Linked DNA regions of Schizosaccharomyces pombe. The gene in region 1 interacts genetically with each later gene. Each region holds a gene or a part of one and is shown on either strand. Other genes may lie near its edges. The genes, in order: hul5 and SPOM_SPAC977.15.

Region 1 (6,222 bases):
ATGGCCCTATGCCTATGTATCCTGGCATGCCCACTCAGTTCCCTGCTGGAGGTCCCGCCCCTGGCTATCCCGGTATGAACGCTCGCGGTCCCGTCCCCGCTCAAGGCCGTCCTATGATGATGCCTGGTTCCGTTCCTTCTGCTGGTCCTGCTGAAGCTGAAGCTGTTCCCGCAGTCCCTGGCATGCCTGAAAGATTCACGGCTGCTGATTTGGCTGCCGTTCCAGAGGAAAGCAGGAAGCAGGTCCTTGGTGAGCTTCTTTACCCTAAGGTTTTCGTTCGTGAGGAAAAACTCTCTGGTAAAATTACCGGTATGTTGTTGGAGATGCCTAATTCCGAGTTATTGGAGTTACTTGAGGATGACTCCGCTCTTAATGAAAGAGTCAACGAAGCTATTGGGGTTTTGCAAGAATTCGTTGATCAAGAGCCTGGCTTCACTGAGTAGTGAATGACATTTCTATGAAAGTTTTCACTATTGGAAGAAATAAGGGTTAAGCCTGTTGGAAATTTAGTATAGTTTATTTACTTTTATCTTGACGAATGGGTGTTTATTCGTTTCACAGGGATATTATTTTGCATTTTATGTTTTTTTTTCGAGGACCTTTGTTCCACTTAGCCTATAGTTTCTTGAAATGCAAAATCCGGTTGGATAATTTATATTGAATTGATATATTGCTTCACAGGCGAGTCGTTTTGTTTATTACTGTAAATCAGTAGAAATCTTTCAAGTTAAGATTAGATTTCAGTAGATTATTGAATGCTTTGCTTTTTTTGGGTTAATTTTAGATACTAATATCTATGGCGCTTTGAGTTTTGACAAATTTGATAATATTGTGTTTCATCATGTAGTTTGCTTTTGAAAACATGTACTTGTGGGAGAGCCAGTATTTATAGTCCAGTCATTTTTACTAGTCGGTACTTAAATAATAATGTCACAAATATTTGTAAATGTTCAACACGTTTTATTTATTCCACTAAAATGTAAACAAGGTTTTCACATTGAGTTTTTAAACGTTCAGATGACCAATGAGCATTCCAAACCAAGATATTAATATCTAGATGTTTTAGGAATGTGAGAATACTATCAGGGTCATCACACCGAAGAGCTTTAGAAGGATGAGAAACATAACTTTCTAATCGGGAGGTATGTTTTGAAAGCAAAGTAGAACGGGAAGCAAGGAAAAGATCGTAGTCACTCCATTTTTTAATATCCTCTTCACTAGTGGTCTAATAAAAGTTAATAATCAAATAATTAGCAAATTATGTTTAACATATTTACCTCATCCACTAGAATCATAACTTTCTTTCTTGATTTTGATTCACTTTTTGCTTCTTGGTCCCGAACCAGATCCTTAAATAGAACGTAAAGTGTTGTTCCTATTCCAATTGCAAGTGTTGCTTTCTGAAACCAACTCGTGGTGGAATAAAACATGAGGAATTAGGTAAAATTAAAAAAATTCGTTCCCTATTCTGGAAATGTAAAAAATTGATAAACAGTAACTATTTGTAACAACGTAGTAATTCCAATACACAGTGATAAAATGCCTTTAAATCAGATAATCGGTGCTGGATTTATAAATACCTGCTGAGAACTATTTTATAAAATAATTAGCTTTTCAAATTCTACAAACCAAACTGGTTCTTAAACATAAGCAGTTATTTATTTACAATGGAAAAAAAGGAACTTTGAACATGTAGGTGGAGGTGCCATGTATCAGTATTGACACGCAATCAAATTTTGAAGCATACTTCTTTTTTTATGATTGAGAAATTAAAACATCTCCTATGATCAATTTACTTTTCTCATCATAATGAATAGAGTACCATGGTTAACCCTTTCACATGGACGATATTTGCCTCCAACTTCAATTAATATAACCGTTACTCATGCGCTAAACCAGCAGTTCTTGTTTACCTAATCATCTCGAAAGTTCTTAAAACGCTATAATTTACTAAACGGTTAGATTTTAAACTTTTAATAATTCTATTTTCTCTAAGTCTTTCATAAAATCTTTGCCTTATTAGAGTGTAAGGCTGTTTGATTTTTATATTTGCTTTTTTACACTTGTGAGTTCTGTATTTGATACCTAAAAACCGCATTGATATAAGAAATTTTTGAAGAATGCCTTTAAGTTTTGAAGGAACGTTTAAAGCCAAAAGAAATGTTAATCTCGGGGGAAAACGTGTCTCCAACGATCGCGCTCAGTTGTTGCGAAAAGCAGCCATGGAGCGCAAAAATCGAGAAGAAGAACGAAAAGCAGAAAATAATTCTGTTGCCGTTCAATCCTTGTCTAGAGGTTTTTTAGCTAGGCGAAAATTTAAACAAGATTTCCGGGAGCGCTGGATATACAAATACACAAAATCAGGGCGTACATCTATCAGATTCAATACTTTGGAAGATATAAAATGCTCTATTTCTCTTCTTGTTTTATTTGCTGAGCCTGATATCGACTTGCCATTTGTTTCTCAAGTTGCGCATAATATACTGGTTTGGCTGGAAAATTTAATTCCTCTATCGAATGGAATGGATGATACACCAAAAAGCCACCTAAAAGTGAAAATATTAAAAGTACAAGAGACGTTATCCAACTCAAATGACTCCTGGCTATGGCAGAGGTTTTCATCTTTGCTACTAAATTGCTTAGTCAGTTCTATTAATTCACATAGGATAGAGGGTACTGATACATCTGCCGAAACATCTCTCCTTCATTGTTTGGCATACGTGGCGCCTTACCTTAAAAGTTCTGAATTATCTACGTATTATGACTCTGTTATGACTTTTTATGCTCAAATATACCCTAAACAAAATATGACTAATCTTGAAGATATTATGTCTCTATCTTTACTTACACCTGTCAGCTCTAAAACTGATGAGAATGCAAATAGCAGTTCGGCTTTTTTATTTCATGTCCTTGCGTCGGACTGTTTTAGCTCAATTGAAAACTGTATACCACCAGATCTAATAATTGATAAAGTTTTCTCTTCGTCTTTGCAATTATCCGAAGAAGCCTGCATTTCTTCTTTATTAAATTTGGGGATGATAAAAGTTTTCTCTTTAGCTGGAAACTGTCTTCATTTGTTGCACACGGAATACAAAAACAGTTCTTTATGGAAATTCTGCTCTTATATCTTAGATGCACTATATGTTTTCTCAGGAGAATCTGTAAATTCTCGAATCCAAGTGGTCAGTGATGTTGACGATGATGAAGACGATGAAAACGCATTTTCCCAAAATTATTATAGCCATCTTCAAATGGTTGCTAAACATTTTTCTAAAAATTACGCAAATCAATCTGGTATAGTTCAGCGATCGTTTGCAGAATGTATATCTTCTACTTTTATAACAAAAGCTTTCAAATTAGTGTCATCTAATACTTTACAAGCTATGTCACATTTTTATGCAACCATGATAAAACTTTTTCCATCCAACCGAACATCAATTCTTATGTATATATCCTTAGTAGAAACTAACGAAGGCTCATTGACTCGTTCTTTTTCACGTTTTTCTTGGGATATGTTTTCCGAATCGCCTGTTTATCAATTGTTCCATAAGAAGTTTGATGTTCAAAATGTCTTAAAAAATGATTCCGGCTACTGGTTTCAACTACAATTACTAATTGATGTTTACTCACGCATGCTTTTTACCATGATCGACGATGAGTTTCATAACGATAAGCAAAATCCGCTTTATCCAGTTATGGCTGAGTTTTGTACTGTTTTGAAAAATCTAGTTTTAGGTTTGTACTGGGATGTTCAAGCTGCTAAAGATGTTGACTGTAAATCTGTGGTTGATATTTCTCAATTAAGAGTCTCGTCAACTTCCCTTTTACAACAGTTATATAGGATAAATTCAAGAAAACAATTTCTTCCGGAAGATTTCTTTTTGATGAGTGAATATTTCAATTTGAATGAATTTGAAGCTAATGCACTACAAGAGTCAGAGTTGGCTTCACATGCTGAAGCGGAAATTAATATTACTTACAAATTCGATAACTTCAGCGAGTCCCGACCAAGGCTAAATATCCTAAATAACTGTTCTTTTTTCCTTCCCTTCCATTTTCGCATTCATTTGCTTCAGCAACTACTTCTTTTAGATAAACAAGCTAACGGTTATGCCCAGCCGTTTGGTCATCTAAAACATGCAGTTATTCGTCGAAATCGTATTTTCGATGATGGATTTGACGCTTTTTACAATTTTGGGAAGTTACTTAAAGGTCCTATTCGAATTACATTTGTAGATGAACATGGTGTTGTTGAAGAAGGTATCGATGGAGGTGGTCTTACCAAGGAGTTTTTAACAAGTATATGTAAAACTGTTTTTGACATTAATTATGGGCTTTTTAGTGAGACAAAGGCTCATTTGTTATATCCAAATACTCATGCATATGCTCAAGACGTTGAACGATTGCGCTGTTATGAATTTTTAGGGATGCTAATTGGAAAATGCATTTACGAAGGGATTCAGATTGATGCAGCGTTCGCATCTTTTTTTGTCGCTAAATGGCTTGGGCATCCAAGTTATTTTGACGATCTTACTAGCCTTGATCCAAACTTATATGAAGGATTGGTATTTCTTAAAAACTACGATGGAGACGTAGAAAATGATATGGCTCTCAATTTTACGGTTGTTCATGAAGAGTTTGGTGTTCGTAACGTAATTGACCTAATTCCAAATGGAAGCAACATTTCGGTTACGAATGAAAATCGTTTACAGTATATTCATTTGGTTTCCAATTATTATTTAAATGCAAGGCTATCTAGACAATGTCGTGCGTTTACCAACGGATTCACTCAAATTATCGATCCACACTGGTTAGCAATGTTTCATGAAAGTGAAATTCAAATACTAGTTGGTGGTGATCCTGTACCGATTGACATTGACGATTTACGCCGACATACCGTTTATGCTGGAGGCTACGAACCAAATTCACCTACTATTGTTTTATTTTGGGAAGTTTTACGAGAGTTCGAAGAAGAAGACAAAAGAAGCTTTGTTAAGTTTGTTACTAGCGTTGCTCGTCCACCAATTTTGGGATTTAAAGCGCTTATGCCTTCTTTCTGTATTCGTGTAAATGGGGAAGATGAAACACGATTACCAACTGCAAGGTAGGTTATGACTATTGTAGTCTGCATCTATAAGTTTTTACTAACGTATTTATTATAGTACTTGTGTAAACCTTTTAAAGCTGCCGATGTATAGTACAAAGCAAACGTTGAGAGAGTAAGTTTTTAAGCTTATTTTCATTGAATCTAACCAATGTTTAGTAAATTATTAACCGCAGTAAGGTCAGGTGTTGGTTTTGGCTTTAGTTAATCAACCTGATCTAAGAACCGTTCTGTCGAATATTTTTAAACTATTTCCTTTTATTTTCTTTATAATATAAAACGCTTTACTCTTTCTTTTTTCTGGCGAATTCTTTGTTGATGTCATTGGTGTTTGTTGAGTCTCTGTTTCAGTTTTGTCTATCAGGATTTAAAGTTATTTAGAATTTATAGTTTTACCATTTAAGAGTTATGATTTATAGATAAATGCAGTTCAATTTTTTTCGCGCGAATACAATGTATATATTTATGTTTACACTAAAACTGTTTAAAAGCATTTTCGCTTAATAACAAGCTTAAATTTCCATGACGTTGACATAATACTGACGTGTTGACGTTTTGAAGTGGCTCGAAAACCGCCTACCAATACCACCAACTACATACCTTAATTATTCAATACCTTAGAAGACAATAGCTTTGAACTTCACAATGATTAGATATTCCCTAAACGGTATTCGATTATTTGGCTCTCTTAATCTTTTCAATGCAACAAGAATATTACCAATTAGTTTGGGCAGAGCTTCCTATGCACATGCTAGGCTTTTCACCTCGAAAGTTGAGAAGTCAGGCACTGCAGAAGAGTCCGCTCTTCCTTCTGTCGATGAAGAGGAAGATAAATTGAATTCCTTACTTGGCAACATCAAAGTTAGAACCGCTCAAGAGGACGGTGTTTCCGTTGAGGAAGTACTAATGCATCATCCCGAATTGTTGCGCAATGCTCCTCATGCATTGCAACAATCGGTGAAGGAAATTCTTGCCTCGAAAGAAGTTGGGGATGCTTTTAAGAAGAATTAGGTCTTTGATGACTCTTTGTTAACACAAAGTGTTTGGTATCGAATTCCAAATCTGGTGTTAACATATTTGATTTACGTTCAACTGTGGAATGAAAGTTACGATGGATT
Region 2 (3,661 bases), 1.5 Mb from region 1:
CATGACTTTTATAGCTTGTTAAACGTCACAAGTTTGCTGACTAATCCTTAGATGATGGGCATTTCTAAGATTCACATAGAAGCTTATTACTTTTAAGCTAAGATGGATAATATTTTTAAATAAACATACGTTTTTCAAATGCTATGCGCCACGATAGTCAAACAAACAAGGATTTCGGTTGTTTTATTCTAATACATCTACATATATGTAAGCAACTGTTTGACTAGTAGAATAAATAAAAGGTTATGTTGTATCAATTTGTTCAATATTTCTGTGTAATGATTGAAATGTTCAAGTAGACGTTGAAACCCTCGTTTTCTTTTTTTACAATAAATCGTTAATTTAGTATATGAAGCATGCAAAAACAATAATATGTATAAATACATCGTCTTAAACTTAGACTCATTAAATATTCTTTTATTCACCATAATAAAGTGTTAGCGATCATAGCATAAGCAAATGTGTATAGATATTTCAAAGTGTGAGAAAAGTTGGAATATTACGGATATAATAACTATGATCTCAATAAACTTTGTTGGTAAACTGCCTATTCAAGAAGTTGTTGTGCATACTTTATAAAAAATTGTGCAGCATTCATATTGTATCTGCAAAGCATTTTTCTGTGTCACTGTTGCATCGAATAAATACTTCAAAGGAATAATCTCAATTTCATTATGCTTAATAACGAAATGTTTAAATCTGCTGAATTCACTGGAATTTAATATACTTCGTCTACTAAGAATCCAAATAAAAGTTCTTCATTAATGTTTGCTATTTAAGTGTGACTTAAATTTATTCATAAATTAATTAATAGAATAATTTCGTATTTAAGGTTCGGCTTATCTTGATTATTCTTATGCTTTTTTTAAATTTCTCATATAATAAGATCCGAAGAATAAATTCATAAATATTTCCTTCTATTAACTATTTTAGTTGCTTTACTTTTATTCATCCGGTTACTAATATGCACGCCTCCTCGAGTATTTTAAAACAGTTGAGGGCCTTGTTTATGGAGTAGATATAATATATTAAGAAATTATAATAATTTCAAAATTGAAATGATATACTTAAGTGTTCGTGCTTGGCAGAGTAATGGTCGAAAAAATAAATATTTTGAAAATTTTATAAAACGGTAGAAAATGATTTATTTCATTAAAGACTCTTTTTAAAAAAAAAATTATTCTTCATAATCATTAATAAACCAACGGTCAGTTACTTGTTAAGCAAATACATGTTAGATCTTCAGTTGCTTATTAAATTAATTTTTTTATTAATGAAAAAGATGTCTTTTACTTCGTCAATTTCTTCTACAAAAAAAAATAAATATCACTATCAAAGGGAAATCGCTTAAGGATATCACTGTTTACTCGTTTTTCCCTTTCATTTAATCATTTCTCAGAACGCAGTAATTTTTTTTGTCTTCCACTTACTTTCACTTCCAACGTTTGTACTTTTCGGGTTATCTTATTTCCCAAAGATACAGAAAAAACATACTACCGCAGATTTACAAAGCCATTAGCCGATTCTTTCCAAATCGATATTTTAGCTTCAGATTCAAAGGTTTTCCTTATTTATTGAACTTACTCAGTAGTATTCTAGAAAGTTATAAAATACCTTTCTTTATTTTTAAGAATTAAATAAATTAACTAAAGAATTAAGACATTTGAGAAAGTTAATGCATAATAATGTTCATATCCCATCAAGCTACATATGGATTGTCTTATTAAACTTATGTACAATTGCCATACGATACGAACAGTATATGAAAATCAATAGTTTTTCTTCGATGTTAAGTATATAAATAAATATTGGTCATGCTACAGATTCTTTATATTATATAAATAATAGCCCTTTTAAATTGGAAGCATTTCACAAGTTAGTAATAAACGTACTTTAATTACCAAAGCAAATTCATATACAGAATCTTCTGATTGCATGTTGGCTAAATTAAATTCATTTGTATATCTTTTATTCCTTAGTAACTTTTGGATATCTAGTTTATGGCCAACTCCGCGGAAAACGGAGCCCTCGGTTCCTCGGGTTTGTACCGACTATACTTTATATAATTTCAAAATGAGCACTAATTCAACGTAAATTCTACTCTATTTACTACATTCGAAGTAAAAAAATGCCTTGCTGCCCAACTAAAAGCGGTGCGGCCCCTACGAACCGTAATTACGAACTCCAAGGCGAGATGCTGAAAGACATTGGAGGGATGCAGACTTACTTCACTGGTAAGCGCTCAAGTAAAGTTGTTTTAATTGGATTTATGGATGTTTTCGGATTAAGTAAACAAATAAAGGAAGGAGCTGATCAGTTGGCAAATCACGAGCTTGCTATTTATCTTCCTGATTTTCTGAATGGTGAAACAGCCTCTATAGAAATGATAGATCCAAAAACGATTGAGCAAAAAGAAGCACGTAGTAAATTTATGGAGAAAATTTCTTCTCCACTACATTGGCCTAAATTAACAAAGGTCATAGAGGACATTGAAAGGATACATGGTCAAGATGTCAAAATAGGTGCTTATGGTTTTTGCTGGGGTGCCAAAGTATTGATTACATATCCTAATAAAGAAAGATTCTTGCGTATTGGATGTGCGCATCCATCTCTTCTTGATCCTGTAGACGCTAAACATGTTCATTGTCCAGTTTGCTTTCTATGTTCAAAGGACGAAGATCCTGAGGAAGTTGATGCTTGGAAGAAAAGTTTCGAAAACTCTCCATATTTTTCTGAATCGTATTTTGAGACTTTTGGAAAAATGCATCACGGATGGATGGCAGCTCGAGCCAACCTATCGGATCCTGAAAATCGAAAATATTTTGATTTAGGTTACCAAATCTTTTTAAAATTCTTTAAAGAACTTTTTTAAATAGTATTGGTGTCGCTTAGAGATTTTTGGATTAGTTAAGAATAAATATAGCACCTGTCGTTGACCGCCAACAACATTTGTTAATTTCATATTCAATAAAGTTTCGTTAAGTGATTATAACTACTGCAACTATTATCATTTTCAATTGAGAGTAATTATAGGATACAATTTCAAAAGTTTAATGCGGCCTAATTTATTTCCATATTCGTCATATACTACCTAACTAGAAATTTCTGAAATTACAAAAATTTTTATCAATCTTAAAAGAAAAAACTAGGCTGAATGCTTTATAAATTCATCCATTAGCTGCTTCAATAAAACGTACCTTTTTCCGAATTCGTACAAAGATTTACGGTCTAGTTTTATGGTTATAATTAACTAGCTGTTTCATAACACAGAACGAGACAACTTGAAAGTGTGCGGATCTCCTTAAGGAAACACTGAATTCATGCAAGATATTTTTTTTTGGGTTTTCTAGATTTCAAATTTCTTCATTAAAACAAACATAATAAAAAATTAATCGCTTACTTTATTTGAAGAAAAATTACATTTTAGACAAAATAGTTTGTCCAAAATGTTTATTGGATAATAGCGTTCTCTGTCAACACATTTCACGTAATTTTCCGTCTAGTATTCAGCAAACATCTACCAAGTGCTAAGAATCAGAAAGGTTGGCTAAATGATCAGTTTATGATCGCCGACCGAGTAACATGTCAGTCTTTTGAAAAAAACCATACAGTGCATGTGATTGTCTACTTCGTTTTCGCTTTACAGATCAGATCTACATAG

What was found.
Region 2: mutations in hul5 (region 1) and SPOM_SPAC977.15 together harm fitness more than expected from each alone (negative genetic interaction), as found in Schizosaccharomyces pombe (one large-scale study listed by BioGRID).

Annotation. Positions count from the first base shown.
Region 1 is NC_003424.3:1,544,384-1,550,605, forward strand, and holds hul5 (ubiquitin-protein ligase E3), read left to right. Parts: upstream 1-1,878; 5' UTR 1,879-2,120; coding exon 2,121-5,104; intron 5,105-5,162; coding exon 5,163-5,219; intron 5,220-5,263; coding exon 5,264-5,312; 3' UTR 5,313-5,698; downstream 5,699-6,222. Other genes in the region: pabp (major poly(A) binding protein Pabp/Pab1), read left to right, coding at 1-443; SPOM_SPAC57A7.15C (uncharacterized protein), read right to left, coding at 965-1,225, 1,278-1,430; protein mug143, read left to right, coding at 5,750-6,115. UniProt on the Schizosaccharomyces pombe protein: Probable E3 ubiquitin-protein ligase which mediates ubiquitination and subsequent proteasomal degradation of target proteins.
Region 2 is NC_003424.3:60,861-64,521, forward strand, and holds SPOM_SPAC977.15 (dienelactone hydrolase family, implicated in cellular detoxification), read left to right. Parts: upstream 1-2,090; 5' UTR 2,091-2,128; coding exon 2,129-2,872; 3' UTR 2,873-3,002; downstream 3,003-3,661.